Linked DNA regions of Macaca mulatta. The protein of the gene in region 5 interacts with the protein of the main gene of each other region in a pairwise test. Links are inferred from orthologs where the notes say so. Each region holds a gene or a part of one and is shown on either strand. Other genes may lie near its edges.

Region 1 (3,500 bases), on a different chromosome or scaffold from region 5:
TGAGACTGGTCTGGGCAACAAAGTGAGATCCTGTCTCCTCTACAGAGAAATTTAAAAATTAGGCCAGGTTCTGTTTCTCTTGGGTTGATTTTTCACAATCCTACCCACGCTCCACCTGCCAGGATACTGCACTGTCTACATTCAGGCCTCTTGTGCACACACAGCCCATGTGCAGCCCATCTTAGTTCAGAAGGAATATCTGCATTTCTAAGCTCAGTTTAGACTGGTTTCTTCAACTTCAACCAGAGACATGTGCTTAATATCATTTATTTGGGAAGGGAGGATTTTTCCACCAACTTTGAGGTCCCCAGGGGCATGCCCTGTATCTTTTTTCAGGGCTGACTCACAGTTCGTTTTGTGCTTATTGGATGAATAAATGAGGGAACAGAGAAGGTAATTTAATATTTGCCTTTCTTATTTTTAGATAAAAAATATAAGTAGAATCAATATTTTCTTCTTGCACCCATGTGACAGTTTGAGCACCCCAGGGCAATGGACTGCTGAGAAGCGCCACGGCGTGGGGCACAAAGTTCTGCTGGTGCTGCCTCATAGGGATGTAAGGATGTCCACTTACAGGCACAGCAGTGGACAGGGCTAAGTGACCTGGGAAAGGTGACTGCTCTCTCTGAGCCTCCATTTTCACTCAGTCAGTGCTGGGGTAAAAACACGTGTAAGAGACAAGGCACACAGAGCATGCCATCGTCGTCTCTACCTTTTGACACAGTCAACGCTGGAGACCACTGAGACCGCAGGATATCAAGGCAGATGCTGCCATTGCTGTTGATATTAGGGTGATAAATTTTGGTTGTGAAAGCAACCTGCAAAGACAAGAGATCCCAAATCAGACAAACCACAGGGACGTCTGGGAAAAGAACCAAGTAAAGCAGGAGCAGCCACTGCTGGGCTGTACCTGGAGTGTGCTGCATATCTGGCCCCACAGTGCAGGCTGAGCCAGACACCCACTCCCAAACTCTAATGGGATATGGAAGTGAGTGATCACCCAGAAGTTCCCTGACCCATTCCCTGCTGGATTCTCATTCTGAACATAGGGGGATTGACACCGTCTCCCTGAAAACAGTATGTCCTGAGGAGTAACAAGAGTGGCAGAAAGGACTCAAAAGCCCAGAAGTTTTATGCAAAAAGCAGTGATGTTTTGTTGATGTATCAGCAGAAAAGCCCAGGCCCAAAGACTTCATGACTAAAACACCAAAAGCGATGGCAACAAAAGCCAAAATAGACAAATGGGATCTAATGAAACTAAAGAGCTTCTGCACAGCAAAAGAAACTACCATCAGAGTGAACAGGCAATCAACAGAATGGGAGAAAAATTCTGCAATCTACCCATCTGACAAAGGGCTAATATCCAGAATCTACAAAGAACTTAAACACATTTATAAGAAAAAAATCAACCCCATCAAAAAGTGGGCAAAGGATATGAACAGACACTTCTCAAAAGAAGACATTTATGCAGCCAACAGACATATAAAAAATGCTCATTGTCACTGGTCATCAGAGAAATGCAAATCAAAACCACAATGAGATACCATCTCATGGCAGTTAGAATGGCAATCATTAAAAAGTCAGGAAACAACAGATGCTGAAGAGGATGTGGAAAAATGGAAATGCTTTTACACTGTTGGTGGGAGTGTAAATTAGTTCAACCATTGTGGAAGACAGTGTGGCGATTCCTCAAGGTATTCCTCTAGTTCTAGAAATGGCATTTCTAGAACTAAAAATACCATTTGATTCAGTAGTGATCCCATTACTGTGTATATCTACTATAAAGACACATGCACACGTATGTTTATTGCGGCACTATCACAATAGCAAAGACTTGGAACCAACCCAAATGTCCATCAATGATAGACTGGATTAAGAAAATGTGGCATGGCCGGGCGCGGTGGCTCAAGCCTGTAATCCCAGCACTTTGGGAGGCCGAGACGGGCGGATCACAAGGTCAGGAGATCGAGACCATCCTGGCTAACACAGTGAAACCCCGTCTCTACTAAAAATACAAAAAAAACTTAGCCGGGCGAGGTGGCAGGCGCCTGTAGTCCCAGCTACTCGGGAGGCTGAGGCAGGAGAATGGCGTGAACCCGGGAGGCGGAGCTTGCAGTGAGCTGAGATCCGGCCACTGCACTCCAGCCTGGGTGACAGAGCGAGACTCCGTCTCAAAAAAAAAAAAAAAAAAAAAGAAAATGTGGCACATATACACCATGGAATACTATGCATCCATAAAAAAGGATGAGTTTGTGTCCTTTGCAGGGACAGGGATGAAGCCGGAAACCATCATTCTCAGCAAACTATCACAAGGACAGAAAATCAAACACTGCATGTTCTCACTCATAGGTGGGAATTGAACAATGAGAACACATGGACACAGGGCGAAGAACATCACATACCAGGGCCTGTTGGGGGGTGGGAGGCTGGGGGAGGGATAGCATTAGGAGAAATACCTAATGTAAATGATAAGTTGATGGTTGCAGCAAACCAACATGGCACATGTATACTCTATGTAACAAACCTGCACGTTGTGCACGTGTACCCTAGAACTTAAAGTATAATAATAATAACAAATAAAAGCTCAGGCCATGGACCCTCTGCCAGGCCACAAACCCTCCCCACCTTTCTATTTCACCCTTTGTAAGACCACCCCCTTCTCAGAATTTAGTCCTAAAATACCCTTGTGCACTTCAAATATGTAAGGATACCCACTGTAACAAAAGATGTGAAACCTAAATGTCTTCAGATTGATTACTGGTTAAATTAATGTTATAAATAAGCAACAGAATATTACACAACTGTTTAAAAAGAATGAGGTGAATTTTTAAAACATGAATGTGATCATATGGAACAATTTCCAAGACATATTGCTATGGGAAAAGCAAGATGCAGATTCATGGAAACGCCTGTTCCATTCATGGGAGAAACAAGGAAGCACAAACAAGTGCTTATCCAGGTGGAGATTACTCCTGAAAGAGAAATGAAATGACAAGTAAGACTCAGTGCCTTGTGGGAAAAAAAAGGCGGGGGGCCGGGCATGGTTAGAGAGACAAAGTTGAAAGAAGGTCCTATTTTCTACTGTATACTCTCCTACATTTGACTTTTTTTTTCTGTTTTTGTTTTTGTTTTTGTTTTAAACCACAGCCACACACTACTTCTTCAAATGACCTTGGACCTCAGAGCCTTCACTATAAATAGGTACATGGTACCTCTCCCAGGGATGTTGTGGGACCCATGGAAAGTCTGCTCTCTGTGATGTGCAAGGTGTTCTGAGTCAGGTGCAGCTTCCACTGCTACAGGAGCCTAAGAATCTGCCTCACCTACACTCCCTCTGGGTGAGCAGTGACCTCAACGCAGGGGCTGGGGCAAAGGAACATAAGGATTTTGCCGGCTGGGCGTGATGGCTCACACCTGTAATCCTAGCACTTTGGGAGGTCGAGGTGGGTGGATCACAAGGTCAGGAGTTCGAGACCAGCCTGGCCAATATGGAGAAACCT
Region 2 (3,500 bases), about 9.5 Mb from region 5:
TCAAAGTCAGAATAGTTGCACTAGGGTCTACAGGTCACAGAAACCAGTCCCACCTAATTTGGTCCATAATCTCTAGTAACATATGTCTGACTTAATACCTGCATGTCACTGCAATGGGCACCAGGTCAGGAGAAGCTAGAAAAGTAAAAGAAGGAAGAATAAAGAGCAGTAGCTTCCAGGTCTCTGAGAATTCCAGTCACCAAAAGCTCCTACCTTGCCTGGGCTCACAGGGACTCACCTAAGTCAGTGTTGTGGCTGGAGAGAAGCTGACGGAATTTTTCTAGGCGGGTTTTCTCCCGGACAGTCATTGGGGGGGCCCCAGAGGCGTTCTGATCCGAGATCCGGGCAACGAGGGGGATGATGGGCCGGAGAGGGAGTGACTGCTGTTTGTGGAGTGGGTTCCTCAGGCATGTATCACCTGAGATCATTTGAAAAAGAAACAGAATGGGCTGTGTGAGGAGCATGGATTCTGAGAAGCCTTAAACCTAATCGTTCAGCATCGTGTCTCCTCCCCAAGGCCGTGGCTGCCTGTGTGCACTGCCTGAGGTGCCCAGCTGAGGGGCAGCGAGGGACCAGAACCCAGCCACGCTCCATTCACTGCCCAGAGAAAGGGCTGCATTTATATCAAACACACCAAGGCACCTTAGGTGCTAACAGAGACTCCAGAAGCTGCAGCAACTTTTGAGAACTTTTTTGGTGACTCTAAAGGAAAATCAAATGTTTTCTTTCTGCCCCAACTTGGAACTTTTCTTGATGCCAAACAGTGAGTTTAGTTTAGTCTAAGGCAGAGTTTTCCTTCCCATTCCACATCCCAGAGCACATAAGGAATGATGACAAGGCAGATGACACCACAAAGCACAAGGCTGCAATAAATGGAGGTGGTTGCTCTCCACAAGCCCCGGAACCCCCGGCTGCTCCATGGACTAAGAGGATCAATATCTCCACACATCCTGTACCTGGTTCTTGGCCCATCAGTGTGCCCTGGTGAGAAGCTCTGGCCTAAGGCAATCCTGCCTTTGGTGGCTGCGGTTCCTTTGTGCACCTACATTTCCCACCAAAATGAACCAGTTCTTAATTCTGCCAGGATATGACTGAAATAACAAACAAAGACTCAAACTGAACTCTGTCTTGTTCTCGACATTTCTAGACTGGATGGTGGGTAGGGTGAATAAGCACTACAGGACTCACATATATTGAGTGTTTCCTATGTATAAGGCATATAGGTCACTTTTACATATGACCTCTCATTTGATCCTTAGAACACATGGTAGGAATGTATAACTATTTTACAGACAAGAAACTGCAGCTCAGGGAGATTAAATTATTTGCAAGTGAGAGGTGAAAAACCACCTTAGGTAAGCCTGACTCTGAAACTCTTGTATTATCACAAGCAAAACTCAGTTTTTAATTCTAGTTGTGCTTACATGACTGCCTCATACTCTTTACACGGCTGGGCCTTAAAAAGTAGTAGTCATAACAAAAATTAAACATTGAATATCAACCAACCAGTACTACTAGAAGGCTTACAAAAACAACTTCCACGAGGCAGTTGGCTGGGACGCCTAGTGTAACGAGAGGACTAGAAAATGCAGACACACTGCAGAGCTGAGACAGCTGTAAATCTCCGCTATTACCTATTTACAGACAGATGCCCGCAGGAGAAAACCTCCTCAGGGAGAATGCTCTGGGCTGGGCTGGGGAGGTCCTGGCTGCACAGGGCAGCTCATTATGGATCACAGTAGGGGCCTTCCTCACACTGGGAATCTCTGGAGACCCTCCATCACCGTGTGTACACACCTTCCACAGCCTGCAGCTGTGGCCACCTGGTCAGTAACACTGAATGCCTATCTGTGCATGGCACTGAAGGTTCACGCTAGAGCCCAAATCAGTGATGGAAAACAACTGTGGAATGATTGCAAAGACCTTACAGCCATGAAAAAAGTTCCCTCAGAACATGAGCCAGGGCTCTGATGTTCTTCTACTTCCTTTTCATCCTTTACCCGCTCACCGCTTTAACTCTCACTGCAATGACAAAGCTTCCCTCTCCAGTTCCCAACACACTTTCATAAAACCCATTAGGGCAACATTAAACACAACCATGAATATTTAAAGGAATACACTGAGAGTCCCCAAAGGTCTAATAAAACCACCATCGCATCAACCGTTACTCTGGCCAGTTTCCCGAAAAGAAACAGAGAGGCCTCTACTTCCATCCCACCCAACCTGATGGGACCTGCCTGATGGTCAGGAAGCCGAGACCTGGGGCCTTTAGGCACATTTGCTCCCTCCCTCAGGAACAGGAAGAGACAATTTTATGCTAGTAGCTGTTCCCCAGGGCTGAGAAAGTCAAACCACAGTGGCCAAACAATTGTGAAATTCAGCCACTAACAGCTTTAAATTAGTTAATATTTCTAAACCTGACCAGGACTAAAGCAATGTGAAGCAATCAAACCAGAAGTTTTGGACTCCACCACAGGGAAAGTAAGAAGAGAAGAGGAGAATGGCAAACAACACCTGGGTGTTAGAAAGTGAAGCCCCAGGTCACCAGACTGGGCAGCCACCACAAATCGCTTTTATTTAAAATGCACGCTGCTGAAAAGCCTGAGGCTATGAAGGGAGCAGGAAGGACTTACTAGAGTTTCTGGACAGCTGGGCATCACTGCTGGACTTTATGACCTTGTAGTTGGCAGGAACATCCGATGTCGTTGACTGGGACCGTTCTGGTTTTACCCTCAGCTTGCTGTGGTTTTCTAGAACTTGGGCTGCAGTTGCCAAAGCAACTTTTGAGTTCAGAGTTTGGAAAGAAGGTGAGGAAAAGTCCTCTTCCTCATCATCGCCAATGTCCCAAGCATCACTGGTATTCCGTGCAAACTCATGAAAACTGGAGGCCTTCTTATTCTTCAGAGGAACTGTGCTGACTTTTGATCGTTCTTTAATGAAACTTCAAGAAAGGAGACACAATTACCAAGGAATGGCCTGACACATCTGACCACCTGCATTTGCTTATTATTATAATGTTAATAAATTACAAACTACTCCATACATAATCATTAGCTTCTTCAAACAAAAACTGCCCATATCCATTCTTCATCTAGATACATCCAGACCAGCCTGAGATCGCAGAGACAGATGTAGCAGAGACAGCAATGGTCACCAAACATCCCATGTGCTCTTGTATACTTCCTGGCCCCCATGCACTTAGGTGAGGCCATATGACCAGTTCTGGCCAATGGACTAAGAAGAGAAATAAGGCGATTACTTCCAGGCAAAGTAGAGAATAGGTGTCAGTTCTGTATAACCTCTTTTTTTTTTTTTTTTTGAGACAGAGTTTCTGTCACCCAGGCTGGAGTGCAGTGGTATGATCATGGCTCACTGCAGTCTTGACCTCCTGGGCTCAAGTGATCCTCCCACCACAGCCTCTTGAGTAGCTGGGACTACAGGTGTGCACCACCATGCCTGGCTAATTTTATTATTATTTTCTGTAGACACAAGGTTTCACT
Region 3 (3,500 bases), on a different chromosome or scaffold from region 5:
AGATGATCATGGGCCCACAGTAAAGTGTGGACATGTGTGAACACAGGTATTGCTTGTTTATTCAATGGAGGTGTGGCCGTGGATCCCTAAGTTGTCTTTGGAGGTGGTGAATACAGGCCGTCTCATCCTTCTCATGCACTGAATGTGCCCTACTGTACCCTGAGGAGGGGGCAGGGAGAGGCAAATGCCTGATCCAGCCGCTTGTCTCCACAGGCGACCACCCCTACGAGTGTGAGTTCTGTGGCAGCTGCTTCCGGGATGAGAGCACACTCAAGAGCCACAAACGCATCCACACGGGTGAGAAACCCTATGAGTGCAATGGCTGTGGCAAGAAGTTCAGCCTCAAGCATCAGCTGGAGACGCACTATAGGGTGCACACAGGTACTGAAGGCCAGGGAGGGGTCTGAGCTGGCTCTGGGACCTGGGTGGAGGTGGGAAGCAGATGGTCTCCTGGAGAAGCCTAAGTGAGGATGATCCCAGGCTGAATCAAAGAGTAGAAGAGGTTCTATTAAGGGCTGGTATGATGACCTGAGGGCCACCACACCCCAGTCAAGGTGGCCTGAGGGCCACCAGTCAAGGCCAAGGCAGACATTACTAATCAATCCCAGCACACTTTCCAATGAGCCCCCACCAGCTCTCCAGGCAGTTATACCAATAGTTCAGAGGTGACATGCAAAATGATGTCTGTATATGAGTCCTAAATTAGGGGTAAGTTGGTCCAGTTAGCTGGAAGCGAAGGTTAGGTCCAGTTAACATGAAGCGAATTTCATGTTACTCAAGGGTTACAGTAAGAATTAGGATGCATTGAATCAGGTTATGATGGAAGTTGGGAAATTGTAAAGTTAGATTGTGTTTGGTTCTGAGATTAGAAGAGCAGATATATTTAATAATCCCTATATGCATATGATGTTTTACCATTTCAGAGTGCCTTCACATTTTTTTTTTTTAGACAGAGTTTCGCTCTTGTTGCCCAGGCTGGAGTGCAGTGGCATGATCTCAGCTCACTGCAATCTCTGCCTCCTGGGTTCAAGCAGTTCTCCTGCCTCAGCCTCCCGATTACCTGGGATTACAGGCGTGTGCCACCATGCCCGGCTAATTTTGTATTTTTTTTTTAGCAGAGACGGGTTTGCCATGTTGGTCAATCTGGTCTCGAACTCCTGACCTCAAGTGATTCACCCGTCTCGGCCTCCAAAGTGCTGGGATTACAGGCATGAGCCACCATGCCCGGCCACATTATTGTTTGTATTGGAAAAAGAAATGTGGGCCACTGCTTTTCCTGAGGTCAGAAGACAAAAGAAGTGAAGGGTCTTCCACAGTGTCCGAGGTTGGGGGCAGTGGAGTATTGGAGCTTGCTTGTGAAAGCTAATTTTTCACATTTCTTCACAACTTCAAGTTCAGCGACATCACCTTAGTTGCTTAAAATTGGCCCTGGTAGGAGTATTCACATCATAGCAATCAGCAGATGCTACAAACCAGGGCTTTTTAGAAAGCCAGTTGTTAAACATTTACCACCAGCACATTGCTGGTTGTGGGGAAGGCTGATTTACAGAAGGGTAAGAGGTGGTGGCACATGGAAAACAAAGAAACCCCTCTGATCGGGGGGGACAGCTGTCCTGTCCAGAGGAAGGGGGAGAGGTGGCTTCAGGCAGGTCCTGCTGGCTTAGAGGAGAGTACATTGCCTTTGGAGGGGAAGGGTGGACAGAAGGAGCAGTAAGCAGAGCTACGTGTTGTCAGAGCTCAGTTTTCGTGCCCCAGTTTGAGCCCCCAAGGACAGGGTTGGGTGTCCATTGCTGACACCTATAGTGACCCAGAGGATTTCCCAGAGCCCTGGGGTTTCCTTAGCCCCTTGTCGGGGATGTGACCTGGCAGGTGGATCATTAACTGTATTGGCAGTGACTATTGTAAATAGCTGGTCGATGGTTAGATCACTTTGGCTGTTCATTACTTCATTATTTGCTGGGGCCTGTGCACGGAGGAGTATTGATAGCGAGATGGCTGGCCAGTTAATTACTGTATTGAAACAAGGTTCCCTCACATCCTCTGCTCAGCTCTAGGGGACTCTATGGAAGGAAAGTTGGGGTATAGAAGGCTAGGGTGTGGCTGTGTACTCCCAGGTTCTTTATCCTTCCCATCCCACCCCACCCCCAATTCTAGCCTCAGGAGGGAGGCAGGGTCCAGGGCAAAGTCTTAGCAGTTTTAGCAGGATAGGCCGGGTGCGGTGGCTCATGCCTATAATCCCAGGACTTTGGGAGGCCGAGGCAGGCAGATCACTTGAAGTCAGGAGTTCAAGCCCAGCCTAGCCAACATGGTGAAACCCTGTCTCTACTAAAAATACAAAAATTAGCCAGGCATGGTGGCAGCACCTGTGATCCCAGCTACTTGGGAGGCTGAGGCAGGAGAATCACTTGAACCCAGGAGGCAGAGGTTGCAGTGAGCTGAGATCGTACCACTGCATTCCAGCCTGGGCAACACAGTGAGACACCATCTCAAAAAAAAAAAGGCTTTAGCTGGATAGAGGTTCCCAGGTGCGGCATATTTGAAGGACTGGGTTCCCTCAGTTTTCCCCCACCCCTGCTCCCCACCATCTGTAGCCCTGAAAGGTCTCGATCCACCTGCTCCCTGGATGGAACTGCGGCTCGAAGAGCCATTCCTGAGGACCGTGGGGCCTTTCTCTTTCTAGACACTCATTTTCTTAATTAGAAAGGGAAAAGACTGTGGCCTTAGGAGAGTTAAGAATAGTAAGACAAGGAACTGGGCAATCCAGTAGTCAACTAGCTACATGTAGCTATTTAAATTAGTTACAATGAAATAAAATCAGAAAACTGTAGAGCTCCAGTCGCACCAGCCTCGTTCATAGCCATGTGTGACTGGTGGCTGCCGTCTTGGGTGGTGCCTTCATTGTCCCAGAAAGTTCTGTTGGAACAAGCCCAGCAGGAGGAACCCAGCTTCCCTGGCACACCTGAGGGTGACATGGTGCCCTCACCGCCCTCTGTCCTCACTTTCTCCTGCCCTGTCCCTCTGCCCTCAGGTGAGAAGCCCTTTGAGTGTAAGCTGTGCCACCAGCGCTCCCGGGACTACTCGGCCATGATCAAGCACCTGAGAACGCACAACGGCGCCTCGCCCTACCAGTGCACCATCTGCACAGAGTACTGCCCCAGCCTCTCCTCCATGCAGAAGCACATGAAGGGCCACAAGCCCGAGGAGATCCCGCCCGACTGGAGGATAGAGAAGACGTACCTCTACCTGTGCTACGTGTGAAGGGAGGCCCGCGGCGGTGGAGCCGAGCGGGGAGCCAGGAAAGAAGAGTTGGATCGAGATGAAGGAAGGACTATGAAAAATAAAAAAGGAAAAGAAAAAAAAAAAAGAGAAGGAAAAGGAAACCTGATAGCTTTTTGGCCTTGGATTCTCTCTGGGCTCCAGATGACCTGGATGCCAAGCCACTGCCCCTCCTCTGGGGGCCTCCACCCTCCTCTCCCGGCTGGAGGTTTGCCTGATTTTCT
Region 4 (3,936 bases), on a different chromosome or scaffold from region 5:
GCTGGCCAAAAGGAAGCAGTCCAATGTACTGGGTTCTCCTTTCAGTGACATGACCTGATGATCTGAGACAAATTATCTTACCTCCCAGTGCCCCAGGTCCTGAAGAGTCAATTCTACTTGCTGCCAGATAATGGCCATGATGCAAATAACATATTTACCCTGGTAAGGCATTACTCTGGTTACTACTGGCATTGGAAAATAATTACTCTCATTATAGTTTTGTCTGCATCTGGGGATTAACATTCTTCTAAGAGTAAGCCTCTGGCTCTTTCAGGACAAATGGTCCATACCTGTGTTTTACAAATCACCCCAAATAGGTTGCTACCAGCTGTAATTCTGGTCCCTATGTGGCAATAATTTCATTTCCAAGCTAAGAGAGTAAGAAAAAGGTCTTCTGGAATTGTCAATATGTACTGCTTGAAGAACGCTTGAGCTCCTCTTCAGTGAGGACTGTGTGGGCCTAACCCTTTCTAGTTGGGGTCATCAGGCAAGATCACCATCTGAGTTGCTATGGACTGCAGATATGCTGTTGTGTCCATCAAGACACCACAGAACTGACTCTCAAAACCTTTAAAGTAATTCTAGAAAATCAAAGCAAAGAGAAAAAAGCTGAGTTTTTTTTTTTTTTTTTTTTTTCTGAGACCTGTCACCCAGGCTGGAGTGCAGTGGCACAATCTCGGCTAACTGCAACCTCCACTTCCCGAGTTCACACGATTCTCCTGCCTCAGCCTCCCGACTAGCTGGGACAAGTGTGCACCACCACACCCGACTTAATTTTTGTATTTTTAGTAGAGACGAGGTTTCACCATGTTGGCCAGGCTGGTCTCAAACTCCTGAACTCAGGTGATCCGCCCTCCTCAGCCTCCTAAAGTGCTGGGATTATACCGTGCTTGGCCAAAAGCTGAACCTCTACTAACCCGTGGGGTGGCATTTGTTCTAAATGGATAAGAAAGGCCATCTAGAATAAAGGAGAAAGAGGCGATCTGGAGTCAACTTCAAATTATAACTTTGCTATTTAGAAGCTATTTGGACATATTACCTGACCTTTCTATCAGTAAAATACAGGCAGTGAAATGACTGTTAGGAGGGCTACACAAAGCAATGTACGAACAGCGCCACTGCCAGCACATGGCTCACAGAAAAGCTGAGCATTGTGTATACCTCTTGCTTGTGGTAGTCACCACATTCCACCTTTGATGACAGGCGACTGAACGTGTACGTATCGGGTCCCACTTCTAGACTGTAAACTCCTCGGCAGCAGAACTTTAGAGGCATTTAGCATAGTGGTCAACAGCATAGATGTAAGAATTCAACCCCAGCTCCAAGTCTTGTTACCTTGAGCAAAGTACGGAACTAAATGTGTCTTCATCAGTAAAATGGAAATAACACCACGTATTAACACGTATTCCATGGGATTGTTGAGCAGATCACTCGAGAAAACACAGCCGAGAATATGAGCACTTTCCTAGCCCACAGTGAGTGCCCGATACATAGTAGTGATTATCTTTTCCTGTCTTGTGTCCCTGATACCTGCTAATGACATCTAGCTAATACCTATAGATTTAAAGGTTTATGAAACTTGAGACATTATCCCACCCACAGAAATCCAAAAATATCAGTAAGTATCAAGATGCCAAGGAGAAGGGTCCCCTACCTCTGGAAAATCTCTTGCAGCGTATCCCGGGTGAAGGCATTGCTGTCCTGGAAGACGTTATTGAGGGCGTGGAGGGCACAAAGCTCCCTGCGCTGTTTCTCATGGTAGATTTGTGGGGGTGCTGCCTGGGGCAGCTCCAATGATTCAGATTTGGCCTTGTCTCCTTTCCATGGCACACAACTCATGTTTTTTGTTTTAGGTTCCAGAGATGGCTATAAACACCCTACTCTTCCCTCCAGAAGAAGAATGTAACCTTCTCAGTCTTTTCCGGGTTCCTGAGGTTCACCTTATTCTCTGGTGTCCATGATTTATGCTTTGTCACTGGGAGAAAAGACTGGAATCAAAAGGAAAAAAAAAACCCACCTCTTTTCTCTTCTCAAGAGAAAAATAACTTTTGGATTACTTTCATTTTGCTACCACTGTCAAATTGCAGAATTAAAAAAAAAAAAAAAAAACCCATAAAATGTAAGACCTTGTTTCCGTTTCCCCACCCTTCCCTCCCACCCCCCTCAAAACTCCCCACGATTTTCTTGCTGTTTCCCTCTGCAAATGCCAGGCCTCAAAGCAGGAGGACCGAACAGCATCGGTCACATCGCTCCTTTTCTTCCATTTCTTTCGAACCACGACGCCACTGACTCGGGAGACAAGGCCTGGGTGGCGGATAACGCGCACGAGTCGAGCAGCTAGCGCGGGCCGGCAGGCGTGGGACCGCGAGCCGCGCGGGGGCCTCGGGGGCAGCCCTCCATCCCCTTGGGTACGGTGGGGCCCGCAGGGCGCGGCTCCCTCGGAAGGCGCGGACTCTCGCCCTCTGGCCGCGGCCCTGCGGAGGAAGAGACAACTCCGGTCAGCGGCGAGCGGGCGCGGGAAGTGCGCGGCGGGGCCGGCCCCTGCCCGAGGGAAGGTTCCTTCCGCGCGGCGACGGGTTGGCCCGCAAGGGGTGGGGCCGGACAGTCAGCCTCGCGCTCCTGAGCCCGGACCCACCCGGTTCGCCGCCCCTACACCAACCTCCCCACCCGTCACGTGAGCGCAGGCCCAGACGCCCTCCCGCCGCGCCCCTGGCTGCAGACCCCAACGCCGTCGGGACCGCTCAACGCCAGCCGTCCCCTCACCGACAACGGCCGCCACCTGGAGTGCGGGCCGCCAACTGGGCCGCGCGGGCGGGCGCGCGCACCTGAGCCCGACGTCACCGGCCCCCGCCCGACGCGTGCTCCGGAAACGCCCTCTGGCGCCGTCCTCGCTCCTCCCAGCCGTGGCGTCACGCCTAGCGTAGGTGTGACGTCATCGGCACCGGCCTGGGAGCCGGGGACGCCGGGCGTGTACGGGCCAAGTTGAACGGTTGGGGTGTGGCGGAGCAGTGGGTGTGGGGCTGCGGGCTGCGGAGCTCGGCGGCGGCCGGCAGGATTGGGGTCCAGCCGCTCGGCTCTGCGCTGTCCCTGGCGGGGCGGGGTGGGGCGGCCTGAGGGAGTCCTGCAGGCCAGCGGCTGCCGTCCGCGGCTTTCCGCACCCCTCCCCTCTCTGGGCCAGGCTTCTCGGCCGAGCGTTCTCGCTCCTTCTGCGTTGACTGTTTTCTGTGTGGCTAACGCGCGGCTCACCAGGGGGGATTTTGGAGCACCTGATTCGGTCGGGCGCAAATTGCCTTGGTTAGTGGGCCCGACCGTGCCGCACTGTCCAGGGAGCGCCAAGGGTAGGTGCCTCGCTTTGAGTCACATTTCAAGTGGAAAGGAGACTCCTGTTGCAGTTCCGTGGTGTCGCATTTCAGTTCACTACACACAAGCCACTGCCCTCTTGCCTGGGGGCTCCCCGCTCTTCTCACGGTGGCTTTCCTCTCTGCAGAGACCTCTGCGCGAAGTATACCTAAGCGCATTGTGTGCGTCGTCGGGAAACGGCGAACTACTCGCAGTCCCACGTGGATTTCATTTTTTTCCCTTTACCTACTCTTAGGGTGCGTGGTAGGCATCAGTATCCACCTTAGCTGCCCTCCTTTGGGGTTTTTCGTAAAACTGGAAAAACGAGAAGAAATTGCACTTTAAATTTAGTTTGTTTTTGTTTTTGTTTTTGTTTGCGACGGAGTTTCATTCTTATAGCCCAGGCTGAATTGCAATAGGGCGATCTCAGCTTACTGCAACCTCCACCTCCTGGGCTCAAGCGATTCTCCTGTCTCGGCCACCCGGGTAGCTGGGATTGCAGGCCCCTGCCACTTACCCAAGGCTAATTTTTGTAGTTTTAGTAGAGATGGGGTTTCACCATGTTGGCCAGGCTGGTCTCGAACTCTTGAGATCCAA
Region 5 (4,122 bases):
TAGTCTCTCTATACTTCAGAAAGGAGCAAGCAATTTTTAGTTGCTCCTCAATACAACAACCCTATGTAATGGGCATTTTGTTACTATTTTAATGGATAAACAACCTTATGGTTCAAAAAGTAAAAGATGTAACGAAATCTACTTCTTTACGGCGGTACAGTTATCATCCCCATTTCACACGAGGAGAAACTGAGGTAAATGAATGGTAAACCAACTTGCTTGGGCACAAGTGAGAGGTAGCAGAGCTGGGCTTGTTATTGCCACACAGAAATGTTACCATCTGATAATTAAACCTTTCTTTTTCTAAACAAAACTGCAAGTGCCTACAAATGGGTCTGTTTAATAAAAGGCCTCACCTATCAGGTGGGCTCAGACGGTGACCCTCCTCATCCTCCAGCCTCTTGGGGAAGCCAGATGTCTGCGCTCCCCAGCACCTATATAAAGCCAGCTTTCTTTCTTCTTTTCTTTTTTTTTCAAGACGGAGTCTCGCTCTGTCGCCCAGGCTGGAGTGCAGTGGCGATCTCGGGTCACTGCAACCTCCGCCTCCAGGGTTCAAGCGATTCTGCTGCCTCAGCCTCCTAAGTAGCTGGGACTACAGGCGCCTGCCACCACGCCCGGCTAATTTTTCTATATTTAGTAGAGATGCGGTTTTACCATGTTGGCCAGGATAGTCTCGATCTCCTGACCTCGTGATCCACCCGCCTCGGCCTCCCAAATGCTGGGATTACAGGCGTGAGCCACTGCGCGCGGCCAAAGCCATCTTTAGCAGGGGCTGAGACCTGGGCACCAAGAAGAAACCCAACTAAACACTAGGGGCCTGGGCCCGGCAGTCGCGGAAGCTTGTAGGCCCGGAGCGTGTGGCACCATCTGCTTTTGTGACCAGTCCCCTAGGCTAGAGCTTCGGCGCGACCCGCCCAAGGGAGAGTGGCGGAGCCTCCCAGGCCTTTCTAGAGAAAGCAGCCCGGGCCCCGAGGCCACGAAATCTTGTCACACACTAGAAGCGCGGGCCAAGCCCCGCCCCCCGAGCCGCCTCTTCCGCTCGCGCCGGGGTGGGGTCTACGCGGCCGCCGGGATCCGCTCGGACGCGGCCACGTTGTCTTGCGCGCTTTGCGCGCCTGGCCCTGGGATCCTGACCCTTGGCTACCCGTTCCTGCCCCAGTAGCGTGGCCGCGAGTCTCTGTGAGCCGGCTGTATTCCCGCACTCGCTCAGGGGGCACAGGCGCAGGGATCGGCCCGGCCACTCTGAGCCTTCGGTGCGCGGGCGCGTCTGGGATACGGGCCCGGGAGGCACCGCCCTCCGTCCGCCCGGTGCCTCCCAGGAACAGCGAACGGGAGAGAGCGCCGGAGAGTTGGGCTCCGTGCAGAGCTCGGCGCCGGGGCCCATGCCCGTGAGCCCCCGCAGGCCCGCGCCATGGCCTCCGGGAGCGTGGCCGAGTGCCTGCAGCAGGAGACCACCTGCCCCGTGTGCCTGCAGTACTTCGCAGAGCCCATGATGCTCGACTGCGGCCATAACATCTGTTGCGCGTGCCTCGCCCGCTGCTGGGGCACGGCAGAGACTAACGTGTCGTGCCCGCAGTGCCGGGAGACCTTCCCGCAGAGGCACATGCGGCCCAACCGGCACCTGGCCAACGTGACCCAGCTGGTGAAGCAGCTGCGCACCGAGCGGCCGTCGGGGCCCGGCGGCGAGATGGGCGTGTGCGAGAAACACCGCGAGCCCCTGAAGCTCTACTGCGAGGAGGACCAGATGCCCATCTGCGTGGTGTGCGACCGCTCCCGCGAGCACCGCGGCCACAGCGTGCTGCCGCTCGAGGAGGCAGTGGAGGGCTTCAAGGTGAGGGCGCGGATCCGGGAGGGCGGGAACGCGAGTCGGACAAAGGGAGGAGAGAGCCAAAGGGGCTTCCCTTTTTCCGCCTAGAAAATGGCTGAGCCGGACGTGTGGTTCACAGCCGTCATTTCCTCTCTGTCCGCCCCAGAGCCTCAGCACTCAGATTTGGAGGAAAACCTGTAGCTGGCGAGGGAGCCAGAAGTCTCCCCACCCCCACTCTCCTTTCTCTGTGTGCCCCCATGTTTCCTGTCTCACGGACACATTGTACACGGAGACATGCTTTTGACAGTATAAAAGAAGTGCATAAAATCGCTTGCACATCGACGAGCTGTAGAGACACATGTACTCTCGTCGGCTGTCAGACAAAACGCAGTCGGACATTAACTGACCGATGCCCATTCCTTGGTCTATAAGCATTTCCCCAGCACTTTCCTGCAATACGTCCTGGTCTAGAAACTCACAGAAAAGAACAGGCTCTTCACTGCTTAAGTCATTTAACCACTCTGAGACTCAGGAGATAACAGTTATGAGGAAGATTATGGAATCATGTGATGCACAGAGCCCTCTGTGAACTGGCACAGCTAAACAGAAACGTGGAAACAAAATATTACATATAAAACAGTTGTAAGGTGACCTTCAAGGAGTCCATGATACTGTGTATTTTCTGTATGTTGAGGGCTTCAGGAATTCATACACAATTATGTCCGTGTTTAAATATGAATACATTCATGTGTAATTAATCACTTAACATTTATGGACCTTTCAGCTATATTCTTTCACTTACTCTGGTGAGAACTCTTGAGTAGGTTGGGAAGATGGTGTTTGCCCATTTCACACATGAGGGAAATAAGAAGTCACTTTCACAGTATGCTTGTGTGGAAGAGCTACAATACAACATAACTCTAAGCCTCCTACTCCAGTCACAGTTCCGCTAAGTCATGCGATATCCTACCAGGGACAGGTAGATGATTCATTGTTTAAGATAGACACAAATAATCCTGACGAGGTAGCTGAGTGGTTGAAGCGACAGGCTGCTAAGATAGACACAAATTGCCAAATGAGTGGCTTGTTGGCCCCTGCGCCCTGAGTCTTTCTCTTGTGGGTGGCAGTGTGGCCTGAGAACAAGTGCCAACTGGATACTTGGCATCAGGTGTGTGGACTCCATGTGTGATTAGAAGTACCATGCTGATGCTAAGGTCTACCTAGTTTTGAACTGCCCATCTGTTTTGCTTTTCTCAGGAGCAAATCCAGAACCAGCTTGACCATTTAAAAAGAGTGAAAGATTTAAAGAAGAGACGTCGGGCCCAAGGGGAACAGGCACGAGCTGAACTCTTGGTAAGGGTTGTTGGAATTCACAGTCGCTTCTGCTGGTGCTCCCCTCTTCTGTAGAGCTGATGTTACTTCCCTTAGACTTGTCCAGCATGTCACCCAGAACCTGTAGGTAGAGGGGGATCAACTGCACATGGCAGTGGGAACTCACCCAGAGAACTAAGAGATTCCCTTTCTTTTGGGGAAAGCGTGGAGGAGCCAAGTTTGGAACCCTTGGAAATCAGACCTGTCAGTATAGTTTAACCTGCTAACTGCGTAGACCAAGGTTGATCCTTGGCAAAGCTGAGATGGGTAAAATTATTGGATACAGTTAGCTTGCGTTGTTACCATTCTTCAGACAAGTGCTAATAGTGGATTTGTGTAAGTCCCACTGTTGCTTCTCTTTGTGTTATTCTCCTTTCTTGACAATGCCTTAATTCTGAATTTTTTGCTCTGCTCTCTTCCTCCAATCTCTCAAGGCCTCGACAAGTGGCTGATGTATTAATTTATGATAGGGGTATATGGGAATTTTTTCTTTTTATTTCCGACAGGGTCTCACTCTGTCACCCAGGCTGGAGTGCAATGGCAAGGTTTCGACTCACTGCAACCTCTGCCTCACATTTCAAGTGATTCTCCCACCTCAGCCTCCCAGGTAGCTGAGGCTACAGGCATGTGCCAACACACCCAGCTGATTTTTGTATTTTTAGTAGAGATGGGGTTTCACCATATTGACCAGGCAGGTCTCGAATTCCTGACCTCAAGTGATCCACCTGCCTTGGCCTTCCAAAGTGCTGGGATTACAGGTGTGAGCCACTGCACCTAACTGGGAATTTTGTTTTGAAAAGAAAAAAAAAAACAAGGCAGGGCATGGGGGGGGGTGGCGGCTCACACCTGTAATCCCAGCACTCTGGGAGGCTGAGGTGGGCGGATCACCTGAGGTCAGGAGTTGAAGACCAGCCTGGCCATGGTGAAACCCCGTCTGTACTAAA
Region 6 (4,167 bases), on a different chromosome or scaffold from region 5:
ATCTCTCACCTTTCACACAAACCCATGGCTACCATACGATATGGAGCTGCAGGAAAGATAAATTGCCCAGGGGCCCCCCTACTACTGAGTTCTGTGTTTACCCACATTCTCCAAGTAATTTATCATCATCTGGACCATCATCTCATATCTATAATGTATTCTACTATTCTGAACCAATTTAGCAAATCACATCCCTTCTCAATCCTTTCAATCATGCCATATAGAAATCACAACAAATTCTCCATATCCTAATTTCCTAAGGAAAATATAAGATATATTTATTTTCCTTAATTACTTAATTTCCTGTACAGTTCCCTCACTTTCTTGCCCTAATTGAAAGCTGGCTATTTTTTCAGGCTGCTTCTTCCTTAGTCCTCTCAAGTGAGGGCTATTTTTTCTTTCCCACCCATCTACCTTAGGACCTGGAGGCTGTAAATATTGTTCTATGTTTGTTACTGTTCCTTGCAAGCCATTTCTTCCTCTACTACTTCCAAAAAACCAATTCTTTTGAAGAGCCTGCTATTGGGCTTTACCATCTGTTGTCATACTCTCTCGGATCCCCAGACAACTCTGCTTCATTCACTGATCTCTGGCTCACTACCTTCTTATGCAACATGATTTTCATGATCATCTATATGGATCATCCATTCAATGTCTTGGACCCTCAAGTCCTCAATCTCAACCTCAACCTCACACCTCTGCTTCATCTTGGTCATCCACTGTCATGGTCATAACTTTGACTTTCTCATCTCCAACAACTGCATTAACCTTAAGCATCTGATTTTTATCACTCCCACTGTCCTTCATCACACCTACTTTAATACTTCCATTCCAAAAACTTTTAGTTGTTGTGAAGGCCCCTAATTCCTGCTTCTACAACTAGCCCACAAACCAGCCAGAATGGTGTCTTAAAAGGTAAATTAAATCATATCACAATCCAGTTTAAAACCCTCTAATCACATTTGCAATACAATCCAAATTACTTACCCTGGCTTCCAAGGACGTCTAAGATTAGGGACCCTGTTTATTTTCCAAATTTTTTTGTACCTTTACCCCCATTACCCGCTATACTCCAGCTACTCTGGCCTTCTTTAGTACTTTTGTGCTAACTGTTCCTGTTGTCTAAATTGTTCCCTCCCCAACCATATAGCTGCATCTTTTAGGATTCATGCCCTCAGAGAAGTTTTTCCTGGCCAATAATCTACAGGAACCTGCAAGTGATTTTTTTTTTTGACACAAAGTCTCACTCTGTCACCGGACTGGAGTGCAGTGGCGCTATCTCGGCTCACTGCAACCTCTGCCTCCCGAGTTCAAGCGATTCTCCTGTCTCAGCCTCCGGAGTAGCTGGGACTACAGGGACGCGCCACCACGCCTGGCTAATTTTTGTATTTTTTTAGTAGAGACGGGTTTTCACCATATTGGCCAGGCTGGTCCCAAACTCCTGACCTTGTGATCCACCCGCCTCTGCCTCCCAAAGTGCTGGGATTACCGGCGTGAGCCACCGCGCCCAGCAAGTGATTCTCTTTCACAAAACCCTATTTAATTTTCTGCATAGCAGTTCTAGGTAAAGTTTTTCTTTATTATTTATTGTCTATCTCCTCCAAAGAGAATGTTAGTTCCACGTGAGGAGTAAGCTTGTCTGCCTTATTTACTACTGATGATCCCATATTTTGAACAGTGTCAAGCACATGGTAGGTCTGCAATAAATACTATTGTTAAATAAATGAAAAAGCTAGTACAAAATAAGTGCTGTAGGAGTGAAGTGGAAGATAATTAGGAGAGGCATAATGCAAGAAGTGGCCATCTAAGTCCTCCAATAGTTCAAGAGATAGAAATGAGGCAGTGACCTCACAAGTAATGTACAAACAAAACATGCAACGTGTGAGAGAAAAACAAACAGTCCAGATACAGAGCAGTGGGGATGGGGAGGCAGGGAGAGTACTGTGCTGGAATATGCAGCTGAGTTCATACCAGATTATGGAAGATGTTGAATGCCCTGACAAGGACTTAGAATCTATTGGGTGGTCAATGGATGGCTGTGAGTGTTTGAATAGAAAAGGGACACAATCCCAAAACAGGCTTTAGTAAGATGATTCTGATGGAAATGAGCAGGATGTATCCGACGGAGTAACAGTTAGAGGAGTTGAAAAACAAAACAGCGTGGTCAAGAACATAGCTGTAGGGATTGGCTCTGAAAGAATAATGATCTTTTCTTTCTCCCAAAAAAATGGAGAAAGATAGACATTCTAAGCAAGTGAAACAGGTAGGGAAACTTGGGGAGAATGTAATTCCAGCATTCTGGTAAAAGAGTGGAACCGAACTGGAGGGCAGCAAAGGAGCCCACATGGCGTTAAGCCTGAAGGTGCAGTGTTCCCATTCAACAGAAACTGCTCATGACAGTGTGGAGCGGGGTGCCAGGGGGCGGGGGGGGGGGGGCGGGGGGGAGTAGTTTGCTTGGCGCGTGTGTGTGAGGAATTCGTTGGCTGAAGAGGGATCCTGAGAAGGTATTAGAGATACTGAACCCAGTCCTGCAGAAGCTACTTAACTTCGCAGAACTAGGGCGTCGCTGCCCTCCAGCACGTCCAAAAGTGTCCCCGACAAGGCCAGCAACTCTACCTGTTTCTTCTCCCTCCCCTAACTCTGCCTGTCCAAAGGCGCGACACTAGCCCACGTCACCCTTCTTTGGGGGCAAAGGGTATGGATGGTTCAATGCCAATCTCGTCACCCCCCCGCATACAAGCCCACCATCGCGCAAGAAGCTCGACCCGATCTACCTCGGTTCAGTGGAAAGCATTCATTTGCACAACGCTGTGCGCATGCCCGGAAGCCTTCAGCGTTTCAGCCTCCGACAGGGGCGTAATTAAAGGGGCAGGCGCCCACGTAAAGACGCGCCCTACGCAAGACACGGAGTTTCTCACTTTGTGGAGCCGCCTGAAGGCGCCAAGATGAAGCCATCGGGGAAGTGGGGAGGGGCCTGCCGGGTTGGCCCCGCCCCTCCACGGCGCTTCCTAGTTCGGCTGGTTCTTCTGTCGCCGGCTTCAGCAGCCCGCGCCCGGGCAGGTAAGGCATTCCCCGCCTTCATGCCTCGGTCAAAGGTCGTCCGAGGTCCGCTTCCAGGTCTTGGCACCTCTGCCTCAGGGTTGCTGTGGTAGGTTGCGGAACGGAAATCTCTATCATCCGTGAGAAAAGTTAGAGAGGAAGTGGGTTCCGTGGACAGAGCTTACTCCAGAAGAAAGACTTGGGTAGGTCCCCGGGAATCAAGAAGTTCGGCGGCCCTGAGAAAGAGCCTGAGGCTTGGAGGGACGTCACTCAGCTGTTCTGGGGCGCAGTCGGACCTCAAGTTTCTCACCTCCCAGGCCCTGGGTTCCGTGAGCCCGATTGCGAAATGAAGAATCTTCCCCAGAACCAGGAAGTCAGGCCAGCACCTGACAGATGCCTGTGGCTCCGACAGCTCGCGGAGCCTCCACACGATTGTAATTCGCTTGTTTCTCCGGCCTCCAAGCTTCCAGGGAATTAGAAAGTGGAGGGGGCTTATGGGATCAGATGGGTACATTCGCAGATAGGGGAAAAAGTGTCAGCTTGGAAGCCAGAGAGAGACAAAGGGATAAAAGCAAACCCTGTCCAGGTGCGGTGGCTCATGCCTGTAATCCCAGCACTTTGGGAGGCCGAGGCGGGCGGATCACTTGAGGTCAGGAGTTCGAGACCAGCCTAGCCAACATGGTGAAACCCCGTCTCTACTAAGATACAAAAATTAGCTGACATGGTGGCGGGCGCCCGTAATCCCAGCTACTCCAGGGGCTGAGGCAGCAGAATCGCTTGAACCCGGGAGGCGGAGCTTGCAGTGAGCCAAGATCGCACCACTACACTCCACCCTAGGCAACAGAGGGAGACGACGTCTCAAAAGAAAAAAGAAAAAAAAAAAAAAAAAAAAAAGCAAACCCTGGGAAAGCGAGAAAGCACTTTGAGCATTTAGAATGGAAAGAAACGGCGCTATTAGTGCTTCAAAAACGTAACTGCCCAAGGTCCCTTGTAAGCACAGGATATTAAAATCTGCCTTTTCCCTTTCTTGGAGTGGTCCTTGAAGAGGGCTATCAGGAAGTTCAAATTTCTTCTGTTTTCGTGCAAAGCGTTCGTTTGAAGTTTGCCTTCTACGTCTCCAAACTGAGC
Region 7 (4,102 bases), on a different chromosome or scaffold from region 5:
GCGGATCACCTGGGGTCACGAGTTCAAGACCAGCCTGGCTAACATGGTGAAACTCCATCTCTACTAAAAATACAAAAAATTAGCCAGGTGTGGTGGCAGACGCCTGTAATCTCAGCTACTCGGGAGGCTGAGGCAGGAGAATCACTTGAACCCAGGAGGCGGAGGTGGCAGTGAGCTGAGATTGCGCCACTGCACTCCAGCCTGGGCAACAGGGTGAGATTCTGTCTCAAAAAACAAACAAATTTTAAAAAACCCTCAAAACCAACAAAACAGAAAACAAAAACAAAACGCTGGGGTAAAGTGATGGAGTCAATTCCCGGAGGGTACTGAAAAGCACTAATTCAAGAGAACTCATGGAAAGTGGCCCTTCTTTCTCATAGAGGAGAGGGAAGGAGAGAGGGAGAGAGACAGACAGAGACAGAGACAGACAGAGACAGAGAAGAAAGGGAGAGAAGGAAGAGGAGAGAGAGAGAGAAAGAGAAAGCCCGTACATTCTGCTGAGGGAAGCTGCGGGAGTTGATAATTGGGACCCTGAGTAGAGTGGCAAACATCTGGAGCTGCATATATGTAGAGGTGGTGCAGGCAACAAGGGATGAAAACGAGGAATTAAAAAAAAAAAAAAAAAAAGAAAAAGAAAAGAAAAAAAAAGAAGGACTGACCTGGAGGGTCCACCAAGGAATTTCTTTGTAACAGGTAACAGCTGTAATATGACATGTTGAAGTATTAACACTGATGACTGCTTGTCTACATTATTTTCCAAGTGCATGAATTGAGTAGTTACAGGGAAAAAGCGAACTGCCTGTTCCCAACGTCCTACACAGATGAACTGAAACGAAGAAAAAAAAATAAACTTTCTTTTGATGTCAACAAGTTACAGAGTATCATTTACTGTTGAAACCAGGTTATACTGATTATTTTCGATCTGGTAGTTCTTTATTATCATTACACTTGGCTGAGTCATTCCTACGCCCTAAGTACAGACGGCTAGAGTTACCACGTGAGAGTAAAACATTATAATATCAAAATAATTAGATTGGCCACAAAAATTACCCCGGAAAGATACTGCGTAGCAAAAACGTTGGCAGCAAGTTCCAAAGACTTGGCGACGACAAGCAGGGAGCGCGCACGTGCAGCCATACCTGGGGCCCGCCCAGCGCAGCCAAGCGCGCCGAGAAAGGTCAGCAGCAGCCCCGCTCCCACCAGGCAGGCGGTCGCCTGCACCCTGCGGCGGAAGCACGCGGAGGCACAGCCAGGGCCTCCGCCCTTTGCCAGTGAAGGGCACACCCCAAGGTCTGGGAGCATCGTTCTCAGGAAAGTACAAGTTCTTCTTTGATGGAGCCCCAGAAAAGCCTCTCCCGCCCTTCCTCGGCTCCCCAAGGGCAGGGCTGGACCCGGCTGCAGAGTTGGCCGGACACTGACTGGGTCAAGTGACGGTCGGGCTGACCGCACCCCCCACCCCCGGTCGCCCCGGGTCGCTGGTGCACTGCGCCTGCGCACGCCTCCCCAAGGAGTTCGCAGCGAGGGGCGGAGCTTGGCCCGCCAGTAACTCGGTCTCCAGGCACCGGGAATAACAGAAGCTAGCTGAGAGCGCCTGCGCGGCCGTCGGTTGAGGGGGAGGTCGGGTCTGGGAAACTAGGCCCTGGGGTTTTCCCTGAGCAGGAGCGGTGCCCGAGGGCCTCAGGTACGCAGAAGGGCGGGGAGACAGAGGGTCAGCACCTCCTAAGGGCCCGAAGGGCAGGAGAGAGAGAGGACTTGTCCCCAGAGGCGGAGTCCGTAGTGGGGGCGCCCCAGTTGACCCTTCGGGACAGAACGTGACTTCAGCCTTAAGGATCTAAAACCGGCTGCAGCCAGGTCAGGTGGCCCTCAACGCTCAGGTTACAAAACTTTTACCGTCTGCGCCACGGGGACTCCTGAGATGAGGGTTTGACAGCCAGGCACCTGCTCCAGGCCCTAGCAGCCTCTGTGCTCTTTTGAATCAAGCACGGTTCCAGCAGGAGGGAAGCCCTGAGAGCTCTTTGTGCCAGTCACTACCTCTGGGCCACAGCTTGCTCACCTGTAAAATGGTGAGGATGGACTCGGACGGAACCCTTCAGTTTACAGGTGAAGAAACGGGGGCCAGCAAGGGAGAAGTCGCTTGTCCTGTTACAGGCCTAAAACCTGACTTTCAATCCGATGCTCTTTCCACTTACTGTAGAGTATACTGTGCGTGGCAGAGGCTGGTGCTGGAGGAGAGGAGAGCTAGGTGGCAGGAACACCTGTAGCACCTCCGTTTCTCTACCCTCAGGGCCTAACACAGTGTCTTGTGCATAGTAATCACTCACCAAATGGTTTTTGAAGGGAAGCTTTGGCAGATCCAGCACCACTGTCCCCAGAAAAGTTTAAGGAAATGTGGGCAGGGCAAATGTAGAAATAGTTTGCTTTAGCAGACGAGAGTGAACCTCAGACAAACTCTTCGCATGTATCTGGTTTAAATCTCCCGTAGGCATCAGTCCAGGCCCTGAATGGCTGGTCTCCAGCGGTTGGCATCACATCTGCCTGTGGGCGTTATGCTTCCACATAATACAACAGAAGCTCCAGGGCCCCACTCAGCCAAGCAAGACTCTTACGAACAAAGTGACTCTTCCCAGCAGTCCTTGAAGGGGCACCTGAGGAACAATTTCCAGAAGCAGCTTTTGAGCAACAAAGAGTTGACTCTGGATAAAGTCCACACTCACCCCAAATGGAACACAAAAGCCCGGAGCTACTCCTATCCCCACTGTACTGGAATCAGCCACCAAGATGCAGGAAGTGATTTCCAGGGCCAAGTAAAACAAATTTACTCATCAGGCCCTCAATCCTGGTATCCCAAAGCCAATAACCAGGACTTTATCCCCTTTACAAAGAAACGAGTTGGAGTGGACCGGGCGTACCCACTGAAACCCGTGGTCCACAGGAAGTCGTGCAGTACAGGTGAGTCTGGCACTGATGGGGACCAGAATGTCTACCCAAGGCCCCCTGAACTGAGAGAGTTTTCATCCAGGAACTTTGATGTGAGGAACCAGGTCAACTTTTCTGTGGTTGATCCTGTTCTTGCTGCCATGCAGGCGGAGAAGGCCTTGGCAAACTTGGACAGGATGGAGTGGGTGCAGATCCGAAGACTAGAAGCTGCAGGGGAGAGCTTAGAGGAGGAAATCCGAAGAAAGCAGATTCTCCTGAGGGGAAAGCTGAAGAAGACAGAGGAGGAACTCAGAAGGATCCAGACGCAAAAGGAGCAGGCCAAGGAAAATGAAAACAGAGAGCTACAGAAAATTATATTCCCCAGGAGCAGAGTTAAAGGTAATAACAGCAACACCACGCACAAAGCTGTCTTCTCCCCAGAATTTGATTTTGAGGAAGAATTTAGTAGAGACAGGAGAGAGGATGAAACTTGGGAACGGTCTCAACAAAATTCGAGTCCATTCCAGCTCTCTGATTATAGAATTCAGAGACTCAAAAGGGAAAGGCTGGTAGCAAGCAATAACAAAATTCGAGACCGAGTCTCAGAGCCGTCGATGGAGAAGTTCTCCCCGCCTTCAGAAACACCAGGCGGTGCTTTGCAGGGATCTGCCAGAAATTCCAGCCTGTCCATGGCACCAGACTCCTCAGGTTCCAGCGGCTCCACTGAAGAGCCACAGCTGGGTGAGTGCAGCCACTGTGGGCGAAAATTCCTCTTGTTCAGGCTGGAGAGACACTCCAACATCTGCAGCAGGATACAGGGTTCCAAGAGGAAAGTGTTTGACTCCTCCAGGGCCCGGGCTAAGGGCACAGAACTAGAGCAATACTTGAACTGGAAGGGGCCAGCTTCAGCCAAGGTAACAAGAGCCTTATGGATGTGACTTGGTGTGGGGATCATTGTAGGGGTCTGTTTTGTCATCATCAGTTTTCTTTAGGGAAAATTCATGTGTCATGTAGGAAGAATTGACGTCTAGAATTAACATTTCTTGATTACTACTGTATGCCAGCATTGTGATGGGAGCTTTGCATGTGATCCTCGCATTTATCTCTCATTTTATCAGTTCAAAAATCAAGACTTGGACAGGCTAAGTAACTTGCTTGAGGTCACAAACAGCTTTAAGTGGCAGAG

The links.
Region 1: the proteins of TRIM27 (region 5) and UBE2D4 interact in a two-hybrid assay, tested with the Homo sapiens proteins (2 studies listed by BioGRID and IntAct). The link is inferred for Macaca mulatta from reciprocal best matches to the Homo sapiens genes TRIM27 and UBE2D4.
Region 2: the proteins of TRIM27 (region 5) and TBC1D22B interact in binary tests that used the Homo sapiens proteins (3 or more experiments, as listed by UniProt). The link is inferred for Macaca mulatta from reciprocal best matches to the Homo sapiens genes TRIM27 and TBC1D22B.
Region 3: the proteins of TRIM27 (region 5) and ZBTB16 interact in binary tests that used the Homo sapiens proteins (3 or more experiments, as listed by UniProt). The two-hybrid records come from large-scale screens. The link is inferred for Macaca mulatta from reciprocal best matches to the Homo sapiens genes TRIM27 and ZBTB16.
Region 4: the proteins of TRIM27 (region 5) and JOSD1 interact in binary tests that used the Homo sapiens proteins (3 or more experiments, as listed by UniProt). The two-hybrid records come from large-scale screens. The link is inferred for Macaca mulatta from reciprocal best matches to the Homo sapiens genes TRIM27 and JOSD1.
Region 6: the proteins of TRIM27 (region 5) and PUS7L interact in binary tests that used the Homo sapiens proteins (3 or more experiments, as listed by UniProt). The two-hybrid records come from large-scale screens. The link is inferred for Macaca mulatta from reciprocal best matches to the Homo sapiens genes TRIM27 and PUS7L.
Region 7: the proteins of TRIM27 (region 5) and ZC2HC1C interact in binary tests that used the Homo sapiens proteins (3 or more experiments, as listed by UniProt). The two-hybrid records come from large-scale screens. The link is inferred for Macaca mulatta from reciprocal best matches to the Homo sapiens genes TRIM27 and ZC2HC1C.

What each region holds. Positions count from the first base shown.
Region 1 is NC_133408.1:84,413,322-84,416,821, forward strand, and holds part of UBE2D4 (ubiquitin-conjugating enzyme E2 D4), read right to left. Parts: intron 819-3,500; coding exon 713-818; intron 1-712. UniProt on the Homo sapiens protein: Accepts ubiquitin from the E1 complex and catalyzes its covalent attachment to other proteins. In vitro able to promote polyubiquitination using all 7 ubiquitin Lys residues, but may prefer 'Lys-11' and 'Lys-48'-linked polyubiquitination.
Region 2 is NC_133409.1:144,959,887-144,963,386, forward strand, and holds part of TBC1D22B (TBC1 domain family member 22B), read right to left. Parts: intron 2,942-3,500; coding exon 2,634-2,941; intron 419-2,633; coding exon 239-418; intron 1-238. UniProt on the Homo sapiens protein: May act as a GTPase-activating protein for Rab family protein(s).
Region 3 is NC_133419.1:114,997,010-115,000,509, forward strand, and holds the end of ZBTB16 (zinc finger and BTB domain-containing protein 16), read left to right. Parts: intron 1-213; coding exon 214-381; intron 382-3,028; coding exon 3,029-3,258; 3' UTR 3,259-3,327; downstream 3,328-3,500. UniProt on the Homo sapiens protein: Acts as a transcriptional repressor. Transcriptional repression may be mediated through recruitment of histone deacetylases to target promoters. May play a role in myeloid maturation and in the development and/or maintenance of other differentiated tissues.
Region 4 is NC_133415.1:12,822,230-12,826,165, reverse strand, and holds the start of JOSD1 (josephin-1), read right to left. Parts: upstream 2,801-3,936; 5' UTR 2,660-2,800; exon of another isoform or gene 2,475-2,659; 5' UTR 1,840-2,474; coding exon 1,655-1,839; exon of another isoform or gene 1,070-1,654; intron 666-1,069; exon of another isoform or gene 1-665.
Region 5 is NC_133409.1:154,415,366-154,419,487, forward strand, and holds the start of TRIM27 (zinc finger protein RFP), read left to right. Parts: upstream 1-1,322; 5' UTR 1,323-1,411; coding exon 1,412-1,831; intron 1,832-3,064; coding exon 3,065-3,160; intron 3,161-4,122. UniProt on the Homo sapiens protein: E3 ubiquitin-protein ligase that mediates ubiquitination of various substrates and thereby plays a role in diffent processes including proliferation, innate immunity, apoptosis, immune response or autophagy.
Region 6 is NC_133416.1:50,752,677-50,756,843, forward strand, and holds the start of PUS7L (pseudouridylate synthase PUS7L), read right to left. Parts: upstream 2,801-4,167; 5' UTR 2,795-2,800; coding exon 2,775-2,794; intron 1-2,774. UniProt on the Homo sapiens protein: Pseudouridine synthase that catalyzes pseudouridylation of mRNAs.
Region 7 is NC_133412.1:148,262,503-148,266,604, forward strand, and holds the start of ZC2HC1C (zinc finger C2HC domain-containing protein 1C), read left to right. Parts: upstream 1-1,302; 5' UTR 1,303-1,681; exon of another isoform or gene 1,682-2,100; intron 2,101-2,482; 5' UTR 2,483-2,501; coding exon 2,502-3,830; intron 3,831-4,102. Other genes in the region: ACYP1 (acylphosphatase-1), read right to left, coding at 1,140-1,302.